Linked DNA regions of Daphnia pulex. The protein of the gene in region 1 interacts with the protein of each later gene in a pairwise test. Links are inferred from orthologs where the notes say so. Each region holds a gene or a part of one and is shown on either strand. Other genes may lie near its edges.

Evidence for each region.
Region 2: the proteins of rho GTPase-activating protein 26-like (region 1) and epidermal growth factor receptor substrate 15-like 1 interact in a two-hybrid assay, tested with the Caenorhabditis elegans proteins (2 studies listed by BioGRID). The link is inferred for Daphnia pulex from reciprocal best matches to the Caenorhabditis elegans genes T04C9.1 and ehs-1.

The regions. Positions count from the first base shown.
Region 1 is NC_060023.1:8,074,566-8,086,086, forward strand, and holds the start of rho GTPase-activating protein 26-like, read right to left. Parts: upstream 5,951-11,521; 5' UTR 5,607-5,950; coding exon 5,453-5,606; intron 4,824-5,452; coding exon 4,666-4,823; intron 4,590-4,665; coding exon 4,518-4,589; intron 4,433-4,517; coding exon 4,331-4,432; intron 4,245-4,330; coding exon 4,134-4,244; intron 4,022-4,133; coding exon 3,917-4,021; intron 3,828-3,916; coding exon 3,753-3,827; intron 2,793-3,752; coding exon 2,723-2,792; intron 2,557-2,722; coding exon 2,459-2,556; intron 2,382-2,458; coding exon 2,166-2,381; intron 2,075-2,165; coding exon 1,972-2,074; intron 1,903-1,971; coding exon 1,681-1,902; intron 1,608-1,680; coding exon 1,502-1,607; intron 1,429-1,501; coding exon 1,269-1,428; intron 1,201-1,268; coding exon 794-1,200; intron 725-793; coding exon 423-724; intron 358-422; coding exon 267-357; intron 202-266; coding exon 119-201; intron 48-118; coding exon 1-47. Other genes in the region: zinc finger protein 330 homolog, read left to right, coding at 6,154-6,273, 6,332-6,502, 6,572-6,968, 7,043-7,126, 7,198-7,397; synaptotagmin-7-like, read right to left, coding at 8,762-8,862.
Region 2 is NC_060021.1:11,550,296-11,561,834, forward strand, and holds the start of epidermal growth factor receptor substrate 15-like 1, read right to left. Parts: upstream 5,537-11,539; 5' UTR 5,442-5,536; intron 5,329-5,441; 5' UTR 5,247-5,328; coding exon 5,220-5,246; intron 4,997-5,219; coding exon 4,952-4,996; intron 4,880-4,951; coding exon 4,790-4,879; intron 4,719-4,789; coding exon 4,575-4,718; intron 4,480-4,574; coding exon 4,288-4,479; intron 4,227-4,287; coding exon 4,116-4,226; intron 4,032-4,115; coding exon 3,867-4,031; intron 3,795-3,866; coding exon 3,619-3,794; intron 3,554-3,618; coding exon 3,163-3,553; intron 2,961-3,162; coding exon 2,898-2,960; intron 2,760-2,897; coding exon 2,555-2,759; intron 2,486-2,554; coding exon 2,283-2,485; intron 2,208-2,282; coding exon 2,016-2,207; intron 1,935-2,015; coding exon 1,863-1,934; intron 1,790-1,862; coding exon 1,478-1,789; intron 1,099-1,477; coding exon of another isoform or gene 1,072-1,098; exon of another isoform or gene 1,019-1,071; coding exon of another isoform or gene 1,013-1,018; exon of another isoform or gene 805-1,012; coding exon 85-804; 3' UTR 1-84. Other genes in the region: 27 kDa glycoprotein-like, read left to right, coding at 5,917-5,989, 6,893-7,017, 7,090-7,211, 7,293-7,447, 7,510-7,657, 7,778-8,003.

The DNA.
Region 1 (11,521 bases):
CCCATTTAACACTCCCTCCAGCCAACCAGGCTCTCTGGATGGTCGTACTGCCGAAAGAAATATAAAAGTAGGATATCAATAAATTACACCGAACACAATTTCTAACCAAATTTCATACCATTGACGATGATTTGATTGGGCTCAAAAGTTAATTCCGTTTCATTTTCTCCAACGCAAGCGTACAAAGTCCGAACTCTTCTACTTTAAACAAAAGATTGCGTCATTTTAAAATAGGCTCTTTGAATGGTAAATTAAATTTAATTCACCTTAATTGGTTGGCATTGGTTTTAGTAGTATCTGATGCATCAATACTTGCAACAGATGCCGGCACCAGCTGCAATTGGGTAGAATTTAAACCTGTCGTTGCAACAGTCGAGTTTTGCATTATTTTACTGTTTTTGAGCATTTAGTTTTTAACATACCATATGGTGGCTTAGATGCTGGTGGCTGACCGTTAAACGAAACTGTTGAGGGATTAGCTAATACTGATGGAGGTATCGGCCCTATTGTGGGGAAAGAAGAGAGGGGAGGCAATGGATCTCTAGATGAGGAGCGGGACGAAGATACGGTTGAACCAGGCGCCGAGTCACTTGAACTAAGACTGGTGTTGCTGTGAGGTCGCTCTGGGGCTGAAGTGGCGGAACTCAAAGGAGGAATGACTCCTAATGGACGACCAGTAGGCCCACTAGATAATGCTCCAGCCGATCCCGGCCGTAAATTTGACCTGATAAACACACGATTTATAATTGTTTAGTCACACTTGCCTAAAAAGACAAAGGAAATCAAAATTTACCTTGATGATGTTGCAGCTCCATGCGATTGCGCTTGAACCGAAAGCGGCAATTTGTTACCAGACCATAATTCAGCCGTGGTGGGACTTGATGGATACGCTACACGTTGCTGAGGTTGTGACGGATTGCGAACTCCTGTGTTACCTACTGAGGCCATTTGACGAGAAGGACCGTCAACATAAGGAGATGAAGGCGGTGGACTGAGATGAGCTTGAGCAATAGGGGGAATTAGACTGTAGCTGGCAACAGGTTGACGATGAATCAAGGACGGGGGAGTTGGCCCTCCACCTCCACCACCAGTGTAAACCTGGGGTGGAGGCTGATACGCCGGTGGTGACGGTGGACGCATATTGACAGTTGCTGGATTTTTTATTGGTAATTCTGACGGATCCGGTTTCGTCTTGAAAATCTACATTTTAAAAAATAATATTGGTTTGAGGTCCATGCAAGATTAATATGATTCGATAGGGTTCATACCTTTTCAGAATTTTCGATCATAATCTCAACCACGACGTTGCAAAACTTTATATCCATAATTGCTGCCATAGTCTCTTCTTCCGGACGGAGCAGTGTTGGTCCAAAACACACGCCAAGATTGGAAACGGTCATCAAATTCTTGTCTGATTTTGCAGCGACACTATTATACGAGTAAAGGAATGCAAACCAATGTTAACTCAATATTAGTACACTTAAATATGAAATTCACACACTTTTTGAGATGAGTAATCATGATGTCCAGCATCTTAAAGTGATTTTCAGGCAGTCGATGAACTAAGGCATGCACATCTGCTGTTCGATGAAGACGTGATTCCTGTTCTATAAAACGGGAAAACGGAAACGTGGGAATAAGTCCCCGGTCAAGTCAAATGTTAAGATATCAGTCTCTTACTTGCAGCCGCAATAAAGGCAGTATGATAACGGAATGACATGAGCGGCTCGGGTAACTGACGCAAGTAAGTTTTAATGGCGCTAGTGATAGTCTTGTTTTCCCATTCTAATCGATCTTCCAAATTGAGTTTTTCTACTTTTCGTCGATCAAGCCCCATCGATAGTAACTTGCTGACTTTGGACGAAACGCCGACCAGTCGATACAGCCCTTGATCTTCCAAACCTACGATATAATAACAGTCATTTTTAGCATTTCTGTAAGGATAGGAAAATGAGGTTAGTGAACGCTTACCTCGATTTTCAATTTCTTTGATGCAAGTGCGAATGAATAGGAAACCAACTTCATCCAGTGTGGTTTCTTCGTGTTTGGACGATTTCCCAGGTTGAGCATAAGTCTGAAAAAATTAAATCGCCATTAAATGATTATAGCGAATGCAACAGCATAAAACATTATGGTAGTTGTTAATAGAAGGAATTGTTATTTACGGTAGGAAACGGGTTTCTGGCTGTGGGTTGGTGTGTTACCGGCTCTTTTCCATCCATTGCATCAAGCCACAACCGACGATCATCCTCTGATAGCGCCTGCAGTGTAATCACCATCACTAGACGATCTTTTGGAGTAATGTCGAAGCAGAATCTCTTTTCAATGGATTCTGACATGCGGCGTGTGCAAGACTTAATCTCCATCGTATCCGTTGTGGTCTTGTTGAAATGAGAAAAATCCAAAACGGAATTATTACATGGCCAATGACCGTGAAGGATAGAAAACAAAAACCTACAATCTTTCCAATCGTTTGTGTGTACGGTATCATGGTGAAAATGCGGTTTTCCTTAGTGTACTGGCAATAATGTTTCGACCAAGTGGTCCCAAATGCCTCTGCAGAGAAGAAAAAAAAAACCCACGATTAAAAACAGTCACACAAAATTATGTTTTTCGATAAAATCTATTATTTCATGTCCGCATTATTTAACTAACTAGCCCGTCAAAAATGCTTGAAGAAAAGTACATTAAAATAAGGAACTTGGCTCGGTGACCCACTTACTTTTCTCCATGACGTAGAGATAGCCTTGTCGTGTGTACATTTTGTTCAAACTGCCTGGGTCGCACGGCTTCTACAGATGCGGGTGTCAAAAATTAGAAAGTCAGTCGCGTCTCAGCAAATAGAAAGAACGTCCACACCAGTTCAAACATATAGGCACTCACAAAAACCCACCACCATCTCTAGAGCAGTAACAAAAGCCGCCCACTTTACACCGAGAAATTCTTTACCAAACAACCGAAGCTGGCAAATGACGAAAGCCCTCCAAAACAAATTAATCTTCTAGTTCACATCGCAACGAAAAAGGTCAAGAAACTGCGACAAAAGCAACAAAATACGCCTTGCACATATCGATGAGAAAACCAGGCAACTGCAAAGAGGCTTCTATCGCTTAATCAATCATGATTCAGAACTGGCCTAGACTACGAGTCTACTTTACGTAAATAATGGGAGAACGTAATGTGAATACTGAATAGCCATTAATCTTTTTTACACGTCTCATGACGTGACCAATTTAATATCCTGTTTGCTTTTCTGAAAAGAATAAATAAAAGAAGCAGTTTTAGAAATAACGACGAACAAGCTACTTCTTGAAGATACCATTCGAAGTTTCAAAACGGACATTGTTTACAGTGTTCAACGAATATTCAACAAGAAACAAATCCCTAGAACAATTCGAATAACGCCACGCGCACGAAAAATCCAATGGTAAAATTCTGGGACTGAGTGCACATAGCAATTTTAATCATATGCGTAGCTGTGGTCAGGAGGGGGAGGAAAGGAAATGTAAAAAACACCCATCTCCGACAGTTGGTTGATCACTTTGTCATAGGATAGGATTATTAAGTTCTAGATGGCAGTGCTCCATCATCATCATCAAAGGGTTATTACGCATTTTCCTGACCATTCGTCTCAATCTGAGTTGCCAACTGTCTGCCGACATCCTTGTAGTGAAGCGTTGGAGCTAAAATTAAATTTCATAACGCCAGAGCATGCACACAATACACACAAAAGCTGAGCAAGAAGCTATTACCGTCTTACGCACCTCCAGCATCTTGCGCATCAACGATTCTGCCTCCTCTCGTGTTGTGTTGAAGTTCTCCCGGGTCTAAAATCACCCAAAAAGAATAAAGAGTCGTTTACACGTTAAACCTGTTTGCTGTTTCTTGTTTTGCTCCACTTGAATCGTACTCTTACCTTTTGAAGGCGCACTTGCAAGTCAGTCATATAAGGTCGGAATTCCTTCGACACTTCGTATCCCTGATGATAGAAAGTTAGCCAGCCATACATGAAGCCTAGCAACTGTTTTAAATAAAAACGAAACAAGATTTTCGACAAATTATTAATAGTCTTATTTTTATAAGAAAGCTTTGTAGATGAATTAAAAAAATTTTAAAAACAAGAAAAGGTTTACCGTTTCGACGAACTCAAACTTTTTTCGTTCGTGAACTTCTTGCAGACGGTAGACGTACTCGAGGCTGGCCTGGCAAAAGTGGCGCTGCTCCATCTCCAAAATCGCATCCGCCTAACCAGATCAGATATCAACACCTCTTAAACTCTCGCCAGGAACACGTAATAATAGATGCAAAGAAGGGAGAACAAATAAGAGACCTCCTGTAAGACGGAATCCTGTTTCTTAGTCGATAGATTCAAGTGGCGCTCTTGACTCTGAACGAACTTGGCCGTCTGCTTCTCAAATTTCTTCTTTTCCTCCTGCCGAATTGAACGGGAAAAGAAAGAAAAAAATGAAATTCAATTAATCGTCACGTACAGCACACTTCATTTTCTCTTGCACCACCTTGGCACCGCCGATGTGTTCTTTCCGAAAGTTCTCCAGTGGTCCGATAAATTGATCCTTAGCTCGCTCCAACTAACGATGAGGAAAATAAGTAGTTTTTATTCGAAAACGTAAGCAGAATGCCGGAAGAAAGGCGATGAGGCATTACCATCCGATCCCGTTCATCTTCAATGGCGTTGATGAGTCGACCGAATTCTTTGAGCGACCCGGCAATGACGATCTCATCATCCGTTTGGCTGTTGCCAATACACTCGAACTGGAAGCTCATCAGACTTGTGGCGAGACTGCGCTGCGCCCGAGACAAGGCTGTTATCGTGCGATTAAGAAAGGAAAAATGGAGTTAAAAGCCAGATCATTTATAACTCTACTGTTAAAACCAATATTTGGATCGCCACATTTTATTTTTTTCCCGAAAAATCTACACCTGCAATAGCTTCACGTCCGGCCGTGCGTGGCTGACCGCATCAGTTGCGTTAGAAATACCCCCGACTAAGGCGTTTTGTGGTCAGGACTCACCGTTACGGGTCCCGAACGGACAGACGGTAACGAGAATAACGACAGGAAATTTCGGAAATAGCCCCAAGGAATCAAACAACCTGTGGTGTTGTCTCATATCAGCCCAATTCTTGAAAAACCCTACCCTGTCTCATGTAGGTACATTATTAGCCATATTTACAGAAGCTTTCACAAAACAAAAAGGAGAAAGTTGCATATCGAGTTTCAGTACACGTTTCACAAGAACCCAATCTCTGGTCAATGTCTTCCAATACCACAGATGTGCCTGGATCTACACGAAAAATGAATGGGACTGATAACTTATCCATGACTAATCTATACAGCCAGCTGCAAGGGGGTTGAAATTGATAAAACGGTAGAGTTGAGTTGAACAAAAGATCTGAGAATTGATAATACAGGAAAGAGAGGGTTGGTCTTACCTCTGGCAGCATTGACGAGGTCTTTAACTTCCTTAATTAGCACTTTAATAGCAAGACTGGTTTTCTCCAACTCTTTTTCGTGGCCTTGGAGATTTTCTCTGAAGTATGGGCTGTCTGTTAGGCACTCAGTGAACTCCAAAGGAAGAAGCCCCATTATGAGGCTAGTTGGATTTCAAAGATTGAAAGCCACAAAAATAATAAGCACTGACCAAGTTGATGACAATAACAAAAAAATTTGAAGGGACACCTGTTGCCCCAGTTAGCAACGGATCTCTCTAAACATCGTCAGGAACTCGGCGTTAATAATAGTCGTTTCCACTAAATCACCTCCAAAAGAGAATTTGCCAAAGTTGTTGATCTCGAAAAAACGAATTACTTGAATGCTAAGCTTTGTGAGCAAAATGAAATGCACATCACTGACTGTTGGAGGGGCGAAAGATGTGTTTGGCAGATGAAAACACGACTGTCTGTCGGGTGGGGCTACGCGGCGCGATCCCAACCTCTTTTCCCTCTCTCTCTGACCGCCACCAACTCGACTAGTTTTGCAGGATCCCTAAACACACCTGTCATTTTTCGTCTGCTTCCAAGTCAACAATATACTGGCAAGTGGAGTTTACTTATTTGGCGAGATCCCTTCCACTAGACATTTTCAAACAAATTCCATTTTTTGTGAATTGTATTAGCTCCTACTTTTGAACAAAATGCCAAAGAAAAAGACGGGTCAAAGAAAGAAGGCTGAAAAGCAGAAATTACGCCAGAAAGAGATCCGTTCTGGCAAAGAAATGAAACCGTTAGCTGACTGGGCATGCAACTCGAATATGGTGCGATTCATTTTTCAATTGAACACGGTTTCTTAATATCTTTTTATGTTGAGAGTAGGAATGCGATAGATGTCAACGAAAGCAGAAACTTCGCGCTTTCTGTTACTTTTGCCAGTCACTTCAACGACTTCCAATGTGTGGTCACTGCGCCAAAGTGAAATGCATGTTGAAAACTGGGGACTGTGTTATCAAGCACGGAAGTGTTTTTACGACTGGATTGGCAATGGTGGTAAGTTCGTTTAAAGCTGATGTTTTATTTCCAACAATCAACACGAGTTTTTTCTCCACATTTACAAAGGGGGCCATTTGTGATCACTGTGAGGCTTGGATCTGCCATGGTAAGAAATGCCTGAGCGTACATGGATGTTTGTGCCCCCTACAAGATGCTGTTTGTGCTGAATGCGACCGAAATGTGTGGGGTCACGGTGGAAGGATCTTTCAGTGCTCGTTCTGCTCCAATCACCTCTGTGAAGATGATCAGTTTGAGCATCAAGCTTCTTGCCAAATTCTGGAAGCCGAAACGTACAAGTGTCAGTCGTGTAATCGACACGGCCAGTACTCTTGCCTCAAATGTAAGATCTGCTACTGCGAGGATCACGTCAGACGTAAAGGTTTCAAGTACGAACGTGGCCAGCCGGTGCCCTGTCCGAAATGCGGCTTCGAGACGAACGAGACCAAAGATATGAGCATGTCAAGTAATATCATCTTTCTATCGATTCTCAAAATTTCGCGAGTCATTTGGCCGATACATTTCACATTTTTCTCGCAGCTCGGACCCACAAATATGGCAGGCAGAAACCTGCTGGAGACTACGGCGACGACGATGAAGAAGGAGATGATTACGGAGATGCAGGTAATCAATCCCACTCTGGGCTTCAATTAAAAATATCACCACATTCACAAAAAATTTTTTTTTTTTTTTAGATTATTCTGGTGGCGCTACCGGTGGTGGATCTTATTCCTACACTTACGATGACGATGATGATGACGACGACGACGACGACGATGACGACTCGTCAGATGAAGAGGATAGCGACGACTCTGGTGAAGAGGAGGAAGAAGAGGTGAAAGAAGCCGATGCTGGGAAAAAGCCCTTAGAAGTGAAAACTAAAGAAACTAAATAGATTTGGAACATACCATTCGTTAGGTCAAATAAACCATGGACGATTGATGTTGAATTTTATTTCGCCTTTCTCAGTCTCATCGATTTACATGGTATAATTTGTGTGTAGTTAGCTCTTCATCTCTTTTTTTTTCTTTTTAGGGGGAGGTTTCGGGTATGAAAGGTTATGGTTGGGTTTCTCTATACATTGAACAAGGTATACAAACACGGAGGATGGTTTTGGACACCCTGGGATAGTTCAGACACGACAGACACAGGAAAGCGTAAGATAAGATCATGGACTAAGGGCAACAAGGGCGCGGAGGGGATTTTCGCGTGGTAGAATCTACTTCACGACAGAACTTTCCAACGAGCAATAATAATATTTCACGTAAAAATCAGAAAAATTCAACAATCCAAGTGAAACCAAAGGGGAACCAAAACAAAAAGAGAGAGAGAGGCTCAACTCTCAAGGGGGGTCTAAAGAGACGAGGAACAGGGACTGGGTAGCATTTTCTTTAAATAATTTGATGTTTAATTTTTCTTTTCTTATTTAAAAAAAAAAAGGAAAAAATTTCTCCACAATCAATTAGGATAAAAGACGAAAATCAAATCTACAGTACCGCGTTGGCAACGAGTCACACACACACACACTAAATAAATTTTTTGTCATAGTGCATGTATGAGATGATTTGATAAATATACTTTGTCATTATTATGTCTTCTTTTGTCGACACATTTTTTAAAATGTTTTTGTCATATCAGCAAAACACAAATTCTCTTTCTTCCCCTTTTTTGTCAAATCAGATCATCATCGTTTCTTTTTCTTTTTTCCTTTTTTGTGTTTATGGGTATTAGTGAAGGGATCTCTTCAGCTCTACTTCCGGATTTAAAAAAAAAGACGACCATACAAAACATTGCAAATGATGTCAATTCCCCTCCCCCCGCCCTTTTATGTCGTAAGTTCCGTGAATGAAACTTGCTTCAATCAAAAAAGCTCAAGTCCAAGTTAACAAAACCGTGCGACCACATCAGAACAAAATGCGCAATCTCTTCTTTTTTTTCAAATATTCGTTTTTTGTTTGTTTTTTTTTGTTTCCTTGGGTCTTTTCAGTCTTGCGGATCGTGAACGAAGCCATTTCGATCAACAAAATAGATCGTAAGACTCTTTTGATGAGGTCGTTGAAGTAAAAAAAATAATACCAAAAAAAGGAGGAGGGGAAGTAAAGAGTGTACAGGGGTCATGGATTTTGTGTGTGTTTCCTTCTCTCTTTCTCTTCTTCTTCGATCCTTTTTTCTCTCCTAGCTTGTATATAGCAGATTCTCCGTCTTCCGTCATTTGGCTCTGTGGATGTCCTAGCTCCTTAGTTCTTCCGCTCCGTCGCATCACTCGGGTTTCAAGCGATGCCATTGGACGACAGCCTGACGTGGCTTGGTGATCATGTCCTGCCAATGTTTGGTCTCCGAGGCTCCCGTGCTGTTCTTACCTACACAAACGTGAAACAAAATTAAAAGAAAATGGGCGGAATGGATGTAAATCAAGTGACATTAATCCACACGATGAGCATGACCTTTGCCCAGTTGGGAGTTTAGTCGTAACAGCAACTACACAGAACAACAAGAGACGGACTGGACTGGGAATCACGGAGGAACACGGCAACTGTGCAAGCAGTCATTAGCGGATCAATTGCCAAGTGCGTGACGAAACGGTTGAGAGAGATGCTCGGGCTGGAAAGACACTCGCAGTTCAACTCTCTCCCGGAAAGCACGGTTCCATTACCCATCCAGGAGTGGACGAGAGGTCACAAAAGGGTGGGGGGAGTAGTAGGAGAGAGAGGAAGTAGCAGCTGGGCCCAACCCGTGATCGATTTCTCTAAGCCTTGAGAGATGAAGTTGATTGATTCACGGCCAAGCGAGCACGTACGTTTCTATCCCCCGTTGCCCGTCCCGAAACATACCTATAGACACACACGGCGCGGGTCGATCGATTCCCCCCCTGACGTTTTGATCCTTATTTTTTTTACAATGTGTGTAGTACACGTGAAATAAAATAAAAAAAGCTTTTCACTTTTTTCCTTTTTTCGAGATCAAATAAAAAGGAGGGAAAAAAACATTACGGGATTCTCCAGGTGCCTATAGCAGATCCGACCTTTTTTGCCCGAGCGAGAGTGTTGAATTGATCCTGTTCCGCCAGGATCGATTCGCCTGATGAGGAGAAGGCAGCAGCAGCAGATGAAAAGATGAAGACAAACAGATTGAAATAGAAAGCAGCTTTCATAGAAGAAGAAAAACGGGTCAAAACAGATAAGGAGCTCAAAAAAGAAAGAAATAAATCAGATCGGATTCGATGTGATGATTCATCAACTTGGTTTGCTCTCTCTCTCTCTCCTTTTATTCTCCGGCCATGTATAGGTTATTAAGGGGGGAAAATCCGACGGAAGAAAATAGACAAAGGAAACTTTTTTTTTTCCAGCTCTCACTCTTATCCGCTTCATTAATTCGCTACACATTTGAAAACGATGACGTCGCACAGCCGGTAGAGACGGCATCAATGCGCATGGACACACGAAAATGTCTATCTCTTCACTTTTTTTAGATGGAAAACCGGACTGTTTTCCAGCACGCACAGAGAGAGAAAGACAGGCTCTCGTCGGCCACAATCTGTGGAATTCCTTCAACTCTACGAGAGAGGTCCAAAGGACGCATTCCACTCGAGGAATCTGTTCCAATATATATCAGCTGTTGATTGGAAAATGCCTTGTGTACACATCAGACGGTTCCCCAGAAACAATTCAACCCACATTTAGCCTTTTGGGAGGGGAACACAACCTAGTCATTGGACCATTGGTAAAAATCAAGAGAAATCGTGGCTTTCCTCTCAGGTGACGGGATATTGGAAAGTCCAGTTTCTATCCCTGGACATTTTCTCCTGATTTTATTTCATCTCCTTAATCAAAAGTGCTCCTACAAGTTGAAAAACTTGTTTTTTAGTCGCATTACATAATCAGTCAATATCAAAACGACATTTCCCAGTAAGTGAACAAATTTCTTTCAGGTTCTTTTTTTTATCTTTCCAGAATTCCGTGAATTCAGTTCATCCGGTTTTATATCATTTCGCTCCGCTCGCCCTCGGGGGCACTGGGAGTCGGGAATCGAATTTTGTTTACGATAATGAGGTGTCCAATGTTTCGTCGACCTTATAGACGCGGGAGTTGACGTGACTCCTTAATAATAAAAAAAAAGAGGATCGTTTAAGTTGGAGTCGACGGCGAGGAAGCTGGAAGCTGCGCTCAGCCATTCAATTAGAACTGTGCCAAGCTATTTGAAAATTGAAATTCTTTCGAATCTCAAAAGACCCGCCCGTCTTCTTCTTTTGATGTGAGTCATAACATTATTTGAACGTTCTAACCTCCCAGCCGACAAAATGCGTACCGCAACCAAGGCACGTTCGCTGCCTATCTGGCGTCCATTAGACCCTCCGCTTGATTGGATGATGGATAACGATTTGCCATTGCAACTTTTCATCCGCCAAGAGGGAGAAAAGACGTACGGTACAAACGGTTCGTTGGCATAATATAAGGCCGCGAATCAAAGAAAAAAGACGCGGGCCAATTCAAAGTCGACACTGCGCAAGTCCTTGCGAATCTTCCAACGGTCAAAACTTCCAACGGAACTCGAAAAAAGTTAAAGGGGGAACCGGAAGGAAGTCAGGAACAAAGTGGGCAGGAGCCGGCCCTATAGTCTATTGACTCTATTCAAAAGAGACTTTTTTTCCCGTCCTCCTAATGGATGCCACATACGACCAAGACTGTGTGTACATATAAAAGACCATCCCATTTCTTTAGAACTTTTTCTTTTCTTTGATGGCGATGAAAATGGCTAAATGGACGGGGGGCATTCAAAAACAGTTGGGAGCATTTCCTTCTCTATCGTGATGGGTTCCTGGCCGGGCAACGCTCAAAGTGGTCGGCAGAGACGGACCATCAGCCGTCCAATCAAGTGTGTGTGGGCTGTTGCTTCACGCAGCGAATCGGCGCTGGCTCGGGAGTTCAGCTCCTTTTTATATATCGCTCTCCTCAAGCCTCCGGCCGCTGCTATGGTTTTCCATTCTTATATCATCCGCAATCTACCGTAGACGGGCAACAA
Region 2 (11,539 bases), on another chromosome or scaffold:
CGTAGATTACATATAAAGAAGGAAAAACAGGGTGTGGTGGAATAGAAAGGAAGAAGAAAGAGATGTGGCCAGCTTTCAAACGGGTCAAATTAATCTGTCTGAAGACGGTGGTGACCGACTGTTCATTTCAGATTTGCTGAGAGCGATCGCCATTTCCAGATCGGCTATTTCCTGCATCTCCGCTTTCCTTCGCCTTTCCTGCTCCGATCGGACACTCTCAGCAGCCACCCAAGCGATTTGGGCGTCTTCGCTCAACTTGGGCAATGGTTCAGATGCAGACACTTTGCTACTTTTCATCGGTGACGATGAGGAAGACGATCGGCTCTTTAACGAGCTCGAGCCAATCGATGTTGGACTTTTAGTGGGACCACTAGAGGTGGGAGAGGAAAACTTGAAATCGTTGCCCCAACTAGAGGGAGACTTGTTATTGTTGTCAGCAGCTGTGGCAGCAGCGAACGGATCTGGCCGCCCGTTCCATGCCGAACTACCGAACGGACTGTCGAATTCTATCGTGGATTTAGAAGGAGATGTGGAAGAGGCAAACGGATCCTTGTCTGCGGAAAACGGATCAAAACTGTCCGGATCCTTCTTGATCTTTATTCCGTTATTGGTGATGGTGGGAACGGCGAAGGGATCGTCTGTGTTTGAGGCAAACGGATCGCCAAATCCGACATCTTTGAAGGGATCTTCAGTGAATTCTAGCTCGGCATACCGGTGCTGTTGTGACTCGCTGGTGGGTTTTGTGCTGCTAGTGCTGGTGCTTCCCCATGCATCAAAGCTCTCGCCAGTTGAAGAGCCAGAAAACTAAGGCAATTAAACACAAACCAAAGCAGGGAAGGGAAGCAGGGAAAACAGAAAAAAAAAACTTAAAATAAATTACAACAGAAAAATTTCGAAATACAAAACTAAACTAAAATAATATCAGGTAGATGTATAGAAGACAGTAAAAATATTAATTCTAAACGCTCGAAAGGTCAGATTTCAGACCAGTGGAAAATGCCTTAGAGTTGACTCATGGCTGCGTAAAAAAAACAGAAAAAGAAAGAAGAAGGCAAGAAAGTTTAGTTGACTTTACGGATCCGATGGACTGGAATCATTCTGAAATCAAATTCCAAATTGTGATTTTTTTTTACATGTTTATCGAACACGGGAAACGGAAACGAGAACCCAAATGAACCGAGTCAAATCTAAACGAAGACGAAATAAAATAAATCACGACCCAGCAGGCTGCCAATCGCCTAACTAAAAAAAGATTGTTCTAGAACAAGAGAAAACACGTACACATGTCACGTAAAATAAAAATAATGGAGTTTAGCTTTATATATAAAGAAGGAATGGTATAAATGAATCACAGTTGAAACGAAGAAAAATCAACCGTAGTACAAGTTAATCATGCTCTCTGGATTACCAATAAAATAAACTACACATAGAAAATTGCGAAACAAAAAAAAAAACATCAAATCAATCGGAGACGTACCTTAGATTCAAAACTTGCAAAATCAGCAAAACCCGATCCACCAAAAGGATCCTTAGACGCACCAGCCGAAGTAAACGGATCGCTCAATGGTGCAAAAGGATCAGGTGATTTTGTGGCGCCGATGGGAGGAGCCGGGCGCTGGGGACCTTTCACACCACTAGAAACAGCTTTCGGTGGAGCTGGACGTGGAGGTGGTTGTTTCGACTTCTTGGGAGGCAAGGCCGGAGTCGGGCTTTCCACTCGACCGGCAGGTAAGGGAGAATTAGGTGCGTTAAATGGGTCGCTACCGAACGGATCAGCACCCACGTTTGGCTGCAATGACCAAAAATTGATAATCAATTAGCGCTCGAGTTCCGCCGCAATTAGTCTGATTCTAATTACTCACCGATTTGCTACGACCGAAGGCGTCAAATGGTTCGCTTTTTGCTTGACCAAACGCGGAAGCGAATGGATCATTCTGAAAAATTCAAAATGCATTACGCGTTTTACAAACTAGTCAGGATTCAAATACTTTCTAACGATTCATAGAAACACGTACCGTTGGTTTTGCAGGAGCTCCAAAGGCTGAGGCGAATGGGTCTTTGGCGCCAAAAGGATCAACAGACGAAGTTGGCTGCGCCGCCTTTTTGAAAAAGTCCGATTCCTTGAAAGGGTCCCCATTAGATGAGTCAGAAAACCCACGATTCTGACCATTCAGACTAGAAAATGGATCACTACCGAACGCTCCATCCTATAAAAATTTCGAATAAAAAAAAAAAAGATATTATGATCTTTACTGGACAAAACTGAACCAAAGTTCAATTACGTTAAAATGCGACGTTCCCCCGTTCACTTTGTTGCGGTCAGAGTTTGGCGAGAGTAAGATATCGGAATCGGAAGCTACTGAGGCAATAGGGCGAAGAACGTTATCGCCCAATCGAGAGGGATCTCCCGTTTCTAAGGCTTCGTCATAGGCCACCAAGGCCTCGTCAATCTGATGTTGATGTTCCTGCAACACCGTCATGCGAGCTGAAAAACCAAAACCAAAAATTTTATACTTTACTGGACAAAGTATTAAAAGATTTCCGCCAAGTAAACCTTTAATTTGACTAATTTGCAAGTGAGTATCTTGCAGTGTATTCTGGAGCTTGTCGAGTTGGAGGCTGGCCGCTTGCATCTGTTGCTCCATGCGCAGTTCTTCACTGCGTAAATTATTAAGTTCCTGTTTCTTAGCCGCAACTTCTGCCTCCTGTGTTCGAAGCGTGTTCTCTTGCTCCTCTGCTTGGGTCCGGAATGTACGAACCTAAAAGGCAGGTCAATAGTTACTTAGTCATGAGTGAAATTCGATTAGGGAAATGTTTGAAAAATTAGATAATCGGGTACAAGCAGTAAGTGAACCAAGTAACAGAAGAAATTGCCTTGCAAAATCAAGTGTTCTAACCTGCTTTTCATGCTCTTCAATTTGTCGCTCTACTCCTTGTAAATCTTGCTCCAAAGCTGAGCGCTACCGATGACATGCCAAATTAAAAACATAAACCAAAAATAAAACGGAACGTAAACAACTAAGGAAAATTGTGAAAGCCAATGGAAATAATACGTTGGCACACTTCAAACAATCCCAAGTCAGCTATTATGTGAGCATACAAAAAAATAAAAGCAAAAACAAAGAAAGAGGGGTCAAACAAAAAGTGGAATAAGAATAAAACCTGTGCATCTAAGTCGTCCAGTCTTTTTTGTGCTTCCTTCTTTTGAACTTCCAACTGCTTCAAAGTAGCCGACAAAGTGTCGAGTTCGCTCTGGAGATTACGAACTTCACCATTCTTGATTCGGATGTCTGCCTCCTTTTGTGCCACATCTGTTTCCAGTTGACGCTTCTCCCGAATAAGACTCTCAATTTCTTTGGCGATTTGCTCAAGTTCGGCAGAATGAGTCAGCTCCTCAACATTGGTGTCTTTCGCACGGAGAGAAGGCGGCATCATTTCAGGAGTTAGCACAGTTGGTAATTCTCTTCCTTGAACCTTTTGCTGGATAAGCCACATTGAAAGGGCAAATTGCTCGCTATTCAATTTACCTGTCTGCCCAACATCACACAACCCCCTAGATCGTTTCAACAGCAACAATTAATGGGGTTCGTTGAGATTCAAAAGTAATGTGAAGTCTACCATATATGAGCTAAAATCGGTTGCGGTAGACGTGATTGCAAGAAAACGTCTTTGATTTCCAAGCCGGATACGTAACCGTCGCGATCCATATCTGCTTGCAGAAATAAAGCTCCATATTTGGTTTTTTCTGCTTCACTGACAACCCAGGTTACTGCATGGCCATTAGACGCAATATCCTGTATTTAAAAGAGAAAAAACCCTAACCATTAGAATCGATTAACAAGCTATTACAGTATTATTTTCAATACTTTAACGTTTTCCGGAGATGAAACTGCTGGAGGCAGGACGCTTACCGACCCCGCAAGAGACGACCCACGTCGAAGAGTAGACTCTTGCACGGTTGAGAGTAATTCAGATGGTAAACTTACCGGCAATGGGTAATTATCCAAGACTTTGTAAACCAAATGCATTGCCTAAAATAATTTAAACATTACAAAGTTTGAGGCGGAAAGATTAAAGATATGGGTAAAGTAATTCACAATAAATTTTTATCTTACCACAATGAACTCATTCCGGTCTAGCGCTCCGTCATGGTCCATGTCAGATAGGTCCCAAATTTTCCCTAGGCTTTCGAGTGGTAAGGTCGAGTTAACCAACACTTCTTTCACCTTTAAATCATAATATACCACAATTATACACTGAGTGCGGCACATTACCATCATAATAAACCTTGTTTCCAGGTAATTTGCCACCAACAGGACTTAAGGAATCAAAAAGTGCATCATATTTTGCTCTATCTGTGGCAGTGACAACCCAATTAAAAGTTTTGGGCTGATTTCCTGTTGGGGAAGTCAAAGATGAAAAGGATCCCTGTGAAGTAGTAGTCACTGCATTTTGTATAACAGCTGGTGGCTGTTCACCCTGAAAATTAAGTTTTACGTAAAATCACGAATGACACTAGTGTGGGATTGAAAGTAATCTTGCATAACACCCAGAAACCATTAATGAGCATTTACCATTTCTGGTGGCGTGGTTTCTCTTGATATGTTGCTCATACTAATTTCAATTCCATTCTGTGCCAGGGCTACTAGTTTCAATGCAGTAAAAAATCCACTTTGATCAAGATATCCTTTGCCTTGAGGATCAGACAGATCCCAAATCTAGAAGTTAATAATATAAACTTAAAAAAAAAAAAAAAAATCACTAATGTAAACATTTGAAAAAAAAATACCTTTCCTAGCACAGAAGTATGTAATCCAGATTTCTTTAGAAAATTAGCAGCATCAAGTGCACCAATACTTCCAAGGTTTTTGGGATCCACCTATAAACACCAAACCAGCAACGGGGATCAGATTAAAGTTTCTGTGGAGGTAACAAAATAAGTGTTACTTACATGCCGATACCAAGCCTCGAAGATTGCATAATTCTGTCCAGCGACCTGAAACATCAAAGAATATTTTCAAGTTGTTAGATTCTTTGAAAATATATCAATGTGTCAAAAAAGTTGAGCACTGTAAAGACGCATTATTTCACAAAAAAAAACATGGCGTGCGCCGGAAAAATTTTTATAATACGAAAATCTACACTATCTCACAGCTTTTTAAATACCACTTTCACGATTTTCTAAAATACTTAATGAAATAAATAATAATATTTCTTACTAAAGTCGGAGATGGCAATACCGCCATCTTGGTAGACTTTTCTTAGTTCGAAAAAAATCCGCTTGGGAACTGCACTGGCAATTCCTCCCCCCAACCGGCCTTTAGCTATCTGTAAATAAATGAAAAGAAAGAAAAAAAATAAACGTTGTAATTGTAATCATGAATGTAATGCAATACATAGCTACATAAGCGTAGCTTTTCCCTATCCAAAATTCCAAATACCCATAAAATGCTGAGAAACCAAAATAACTTCTAATTAATTAAAAATTGTTTGATTTTATTCTTGCTTGGAACGGGTTAAATTGGATCGCAAACATTTCGTGATCACTTTTTATGAATGGTCCTGTTTGAACCCTTTTACTGAATTCGTTGCTGATTGCGTGAATCGCCGTTCAAAAGATCACGAAGAAAATCGATTGGATTGTGATGTTCAAATACAACAATCGTCCATAGGTGGCTTCCTCCCTGATCAAGTCAAGTGAAAGTGAAAGGCGAAAACAACAAAATAGAATGACAAACCACTATGATTTGGTAGTAGGGCGTCGTTTGCCCGGATAGGAGAGATTGTAGCTCCAAGATTGTTTGTTTAAGACAGTGACAGTAAAAAATTTAAGCTACCTGTATTAGGCCAGTTGTTGTTCAAACTCCAAACACATTGACCCAAAGTATTGTGTACAAAAGTACACACCATTTCGAGATGAATTATTCATTGTTTTTGACCTTCGTTTTGGTAATTGGTCAAGTTAACTGTGTTATACCATCTGTTAAGGGTAAGTGTCAATATTCTTTTGCCTAAGAAACATGATGTAATTTTGTAAGCTTGCTCTTTAGCTCGATAAAATGTTGAGTGTGATTTGTGCACACAATTCTATTAATTACTACCACAACTGAGCATGACTTTGAATTTTTCATGAAATAATTGAATTAGGAGAAAGTTGATCAATGGCAGCCATTTGTGTATTTGAAATTTGGAATCCTGCAAACAAAGGCATGAGCTTCTCTGAATTGATGTTTTAAAAATCAGTCTGTAACTCTTTTGCACTTCTTTTTGTTTTATTACATTACAATGTCCGAAGAATTAATTAAAAAAAAAAGAAATGACAGTATTGCTGAGTACACTTTGTTTGTGTGCTTGTTCATACACAAACATATCCTGTTAGCATTTATAGTTCAAGCTTGTATAGTAGTTAACATTTTGGTTGACATTTAGCTCAAGGAGAGTATGAGTCAGGGAAAAATCCGGAATAGAAATAGATGCTTCCAAGGTTTGCGTGAGACTACCAGAGTGGACGGGTTTGATTTACAGCAGGTGTATAATTACTTAACCTAGTATTGCGTTTCCTTTTTTGGTTATAACGTATACAGGAATACTATTTCCATGCACGATACAAGTCGATGGAAGTATACATAAACTTCTGATTTCATCAACCAAATATTGATGTTGCTACGGAAATAAATCAAAAATCGTTGAACCCTTTTTATAGCTTTCATTTGGATGCACCTCTTTCCTTGAATAAATTTGAGCTCTATACATCATTTCCTAACACACCACATAGAACGACACTTGATAATAGCATAAAGCACTAATAAAACAATTAATTTGTTTTTTCGACCTTGTCGCTAAGACGTTTGCATCTCTTTGGAAATTTTTTAATAATTTGTTCCTTATGCAGATACCCATAACTGGGCTGGTGAATTAGAAAAAGCTCAGCATGATTTCAACCTGGACTCGTACTCAAAGCAGTGGATGGACGAGTGTGAAAGGGTTAATGGGAGCGAAGCCATCGAAGATATTCGTGTTAGTCTATCTCACTATTCTTGCATTCAGATAAATAACAAAATAATTGAATAATATTATATTTAACAACAGGAATCAGTGACGGTATTGACCGATTGTATATCTTCAAAAATCAATATTCACAACATAACTGAGGAGATTAAAGAGGCGTCTCCCAAGGGAATCCTTGATGAGGTTTTTGCAAAATATTGCGAGTGAGTTATAATTTTCTTTTTCTAAAAGAAAACTAACTGCCATGTGAAGTTCACGTGTGATAAAAATATTTTATTTTACAGTCAAATCTCAGCGATAAAAAAATGTAGAGAACCAGTTATATTGGCTATGCAAGTTTGTCTTTCAGATCAAGCCGATCGGGATCTTGAAATCTTCGATGAAGCCATTAGTGCAGCTGTAGATTTCATGTGCTATAAAGGAGGGGAGCGGATAGCAAGTATTGTTTTCCGGTGAAATTTAAAATATGGATAGAGTAATAACCGCATATTTTATTTACAGTTTTTATGTCTGAAAACGGAACTGACTGCTTTTTGTCAAATATTGACCACATCGCGACGTGTCTCAATGGAAGTCTTCCTGAATTAGAAAATGCAATAAAGAGTATACAAACAACCAACACCTCAATGTTTGACGACACTAACTGCGGGTAATTATAAAAAGAAAAGACAAAAAGAAAAGCTGTTTGGACTAATGTGCTATCGGTTTTCGTCTAGTAAGTTATCTTATCTAAATAGTCACTGATATCTATTTACTTAACGACTGACAGGTTGGAAACCAAAATGAAGGCATGTGTAATCAACGGTTTGAAAACGTGTTCCGACCCGACACCAGCCAACGTTGTTGAAGGCTTAATAGATTCAATGATCAAGAAAACTCCTTGTTACAAAAGCGAAGCAAATTATTTGAACACTTCGCATTCCTACCATTCTTCCGCATTGCTTTGGGCGTTGGCAACGCTGTCGATGGTTACTCGATTCATGTTCCACTCCTAAGTATTGTGTAATATAGAAATAGTCCCATTTTGAAAATAAACTTTGTGTACAATTAAAGCCCCACATCTCACGAAACCCTTTACCGCCCTTTACAAATAGAAAATGGAGTCGAATGTCCGTCCTCTCGTGACAGGTGTGCTAAACCTTCGTGATCGCTGTTGGGTCGTATATATGGGATATATCATGTTGTTTGGGCGTAACCCCATATGTAGTTTTTTTTTTTAAATTTACTTTCTTTTTGCATTATCTCGAGTAATACAATGCGTTACGTTTAATAGACACAAAAAGCGCACTTTTATTAGTAGCGTGTAAAAGGAAATGGAAAAAACGAACACTTTCGTGTAGTCAGATATCGCTAACATCGCATTATTTTCTAGTCACATGTCGAAAGTTCTTGTGATGCTGCTTTCTTTGTTTCTTCGTAATTTTATTGTGTTTTTCGAATAAATTCAACGACATTTTTAAAAATATAAGTTTCTTTAATGATTCTAGTGCCTGCATAGTTCATTTTTATTCTCATATTGAATCTACTGATATTCTTAATCTACTTTCGGTTTCTAAATTCCTTAATATTAATAAGTGTATAAATATTTGTGTGACGACGAAAAGAACCCAACATTATATTTTCCGTCCGACTCTAGGGCGTCTAGGCCTCCGTGGTGCGTGGATGCTAAGGGCTGTCACTAGGTGGCTAAATATTTCAGTGTGTTTAGGGATTGAATTATTCAGCCCTGTATTGGTAGGGAGGGGGGGGGGTCATCAAATTCTAGACGACATTGTCGACATTCCATTTCATATTTCTTTTTCTTCAAGACGCCGTCCGAGGAGGTTACCTTAGCCATTGGCTTATGGCGGGGCACTTTCTCTTTCTTTCCTCACATTTTTCAATGGTAATTCCTTTTTAATTTTCATTAAGGTTACTGAATTTAAATTGTGTGTGTTCCGTGTAATTAATTTACGGGTTACATGTTTAAAACTTTGTTTCTGATGGTAATTGAGTTTAAATTTTTCTATTTACAGTCTGGTGTCAGTGGTGTGAGCTTCTTCATTGCATTACGTGCACGTGGTCGCTGCCTCGTCATGAAGAGAGTCTACTATTTTGCAAGACAAATAAGATGAAAAGAGGAAATTTGAAAAGGTAATTAAGTATTTGTAAGCTAAATCGAGAAGGCAATCAAGTACCATTTTAGCATTTTGTTCTTGATGTCGGAAGACAAGTGACATCCTATTTCGGTTTTCCATGCAACAAAAAACTTAACAGAAGCGGTTTCTGTGAAAAGTTTTTTGTAAGTTAGTAATTAAACACAACTACAGGGTTAGAATTTTGCTTGAATTTAAGTCTACATAAGTGTGCTACATATGCTTGTTCTTTGATTAGAATTAACCTGGGTAGTACATAAAACTCTTGATTTATATTGTCGAGTACTTTATGCTTCTAAATGAGAGCTTTTTGTGAAAAAATCTTGATCAGCTTGTGTTGTGGGTTAGCATTTTGCATAAATTTAAGTCTACTCATTTGTGCCACATGTGTTTGCCTATAATTAACTAAGGTTGTACATTGAACTCTTGATATAGATTTGACAAGTACTTTCTGCTTCTAAATAAGATCTTATGAAAAAAAAGTCAGTTTTTGAAGAGATGAGAAATTTTTATCAAGTAGAACTTTCCCTTGTTTTTCTTTTAATATTTGAAAATATCATTGGTTTATTAATTTCTTTTTGTAAGGTAGATTTCCTTGTTCAGTTTATGAACTGTTAATGGTGTTGTCTGGTGTTCAGTTTAGAGATGCCTTGAGATGGATGATCAACTGCTGCTGAGCCTTATCATCGTCTTTTTGGACGTGGAGAATGGAGACGCTGTCCCGAGTACGTTAAGCTTGGCCATTGCAGGCAACCTTCTCTCTTGACATGGTAATAATTCCTGCCTTTATTCCTTAAGGTTATTAAATTTAAATATTTTGTGTAGTGAACTCACAGGGAAATGGTTTGTAACTTAAACTTGAATGGTTATTTGCTAATGGTAATTTTTCTTTAATAATCCAATGGTTTAATTTCTAATGATTCTTTAATGGTTATTTCTCCGGTTCTGAGGTCTGCTGTTCATTTTCTCCAAAATGTCGTCTCGGTTTATGTTGCACGTTTCGGCACATTTAGTACTTTAGAATAGTAAAAGCAATAATTTTCATTAACTTTGAAATCTGATGGCTTTGTTTCTAAATTAGAATTCTATTACTTTATTTCTGAAACTAAGTTTTTATTTTTTTATCAACAGTCTGGTGGAGTTTAAAAGCTTCTTAGTTCTTTATTGCGTTACGTGTACGTGATCGTTGCCGTTTGATGAAGGTTCTCTAAGAGGGTCTCTACTACATTGCAAGACAACACCGTGATGGAAATAGGAAATCTAAAATGAAGAAGTAATAATGTAAGTACCAGTGAGATAAAACAAATGTTAGCATTTTTGCTTTAATTTTTTCCAAATTATGTGTGCTACCTTTGCTTGTTTTCAGTTAAGAATGTACTGAAGTTAAACATTTAGTTCTTGATTCTAATGACATGGCAATTACTAGGGCAATCCTGCTTATAAATAAGACAGCTTTTATGAAAAGGTTTTAATCAGTTGGTAGATTTGTCAATTGTTTGACTAATCAGAACAGAAATTTAAATTCCCTTGATTCTTTAAAAGCTTAAATGAAATTGTGATTGATATTAGGCCATCTTCTTTATATTTTTCTCTAGTTAAATTATGGAAATCTTAAGTGTATGATCGCCTTATCTGTCAAGTATTTGAACCATTTATTTTACAATTGCAAGATAAAATTAAACTTGCATTTTTTGTTTTACTTTGAAAATATAGGTTTCCATGGTGAGCTGGTTTGTTGTGGCTGTTTGGTGTGCAGTGATTTTCCAGGAGAAATGCGTTAAAAAGGTGATTGTGCAGACTTGCTTAAAATGGGAAAAGAATTATTTTAATTTAAGGGAAAAGATAATTGTTTTGTTGTCATGTTGGCTTTAGAGTTTTTTTTTTCAGGGATTAAGTGCCGCAACAAGTTGGCAATATGGCAATCTTATGCTACTGAGCCTGACGCCGTCTTCTAGGGAAACTGTCAGTTACATTGTTCGTGCGGTCAACTTCAAAATTCTTCACAAATATCTCAAAGGTAACTTAGTTTTCAGTTCATTAGGGTTTCTGACTGTACAGACAATTAACAGAAAGAAGATTTAGAAGAATACAGATACACATTTGTCAATCGGTCATGCCTATGATACATTTCTGTCCTGGTCACAGAGTGTTATCCCAGTAGATTGTTTTTTCTCTGATTGGGGTTAAGTGATAGGAATTAAGTAGATAATTGAATTGTTACATAGTACCTTGATCTACGATAATAATTAAGGTTTTTTTTTCATGTAGGATTAATGGTTTGGTAAGACTGAGCTTTTTCATGGTGGTTGAAAGTCGACATAGAGCCAACTGGTGAATGGTGTGGGGAAGTGCTGCATGCCATCTGTGGTGTTGGTATGAAATATTTTTATTGCTTT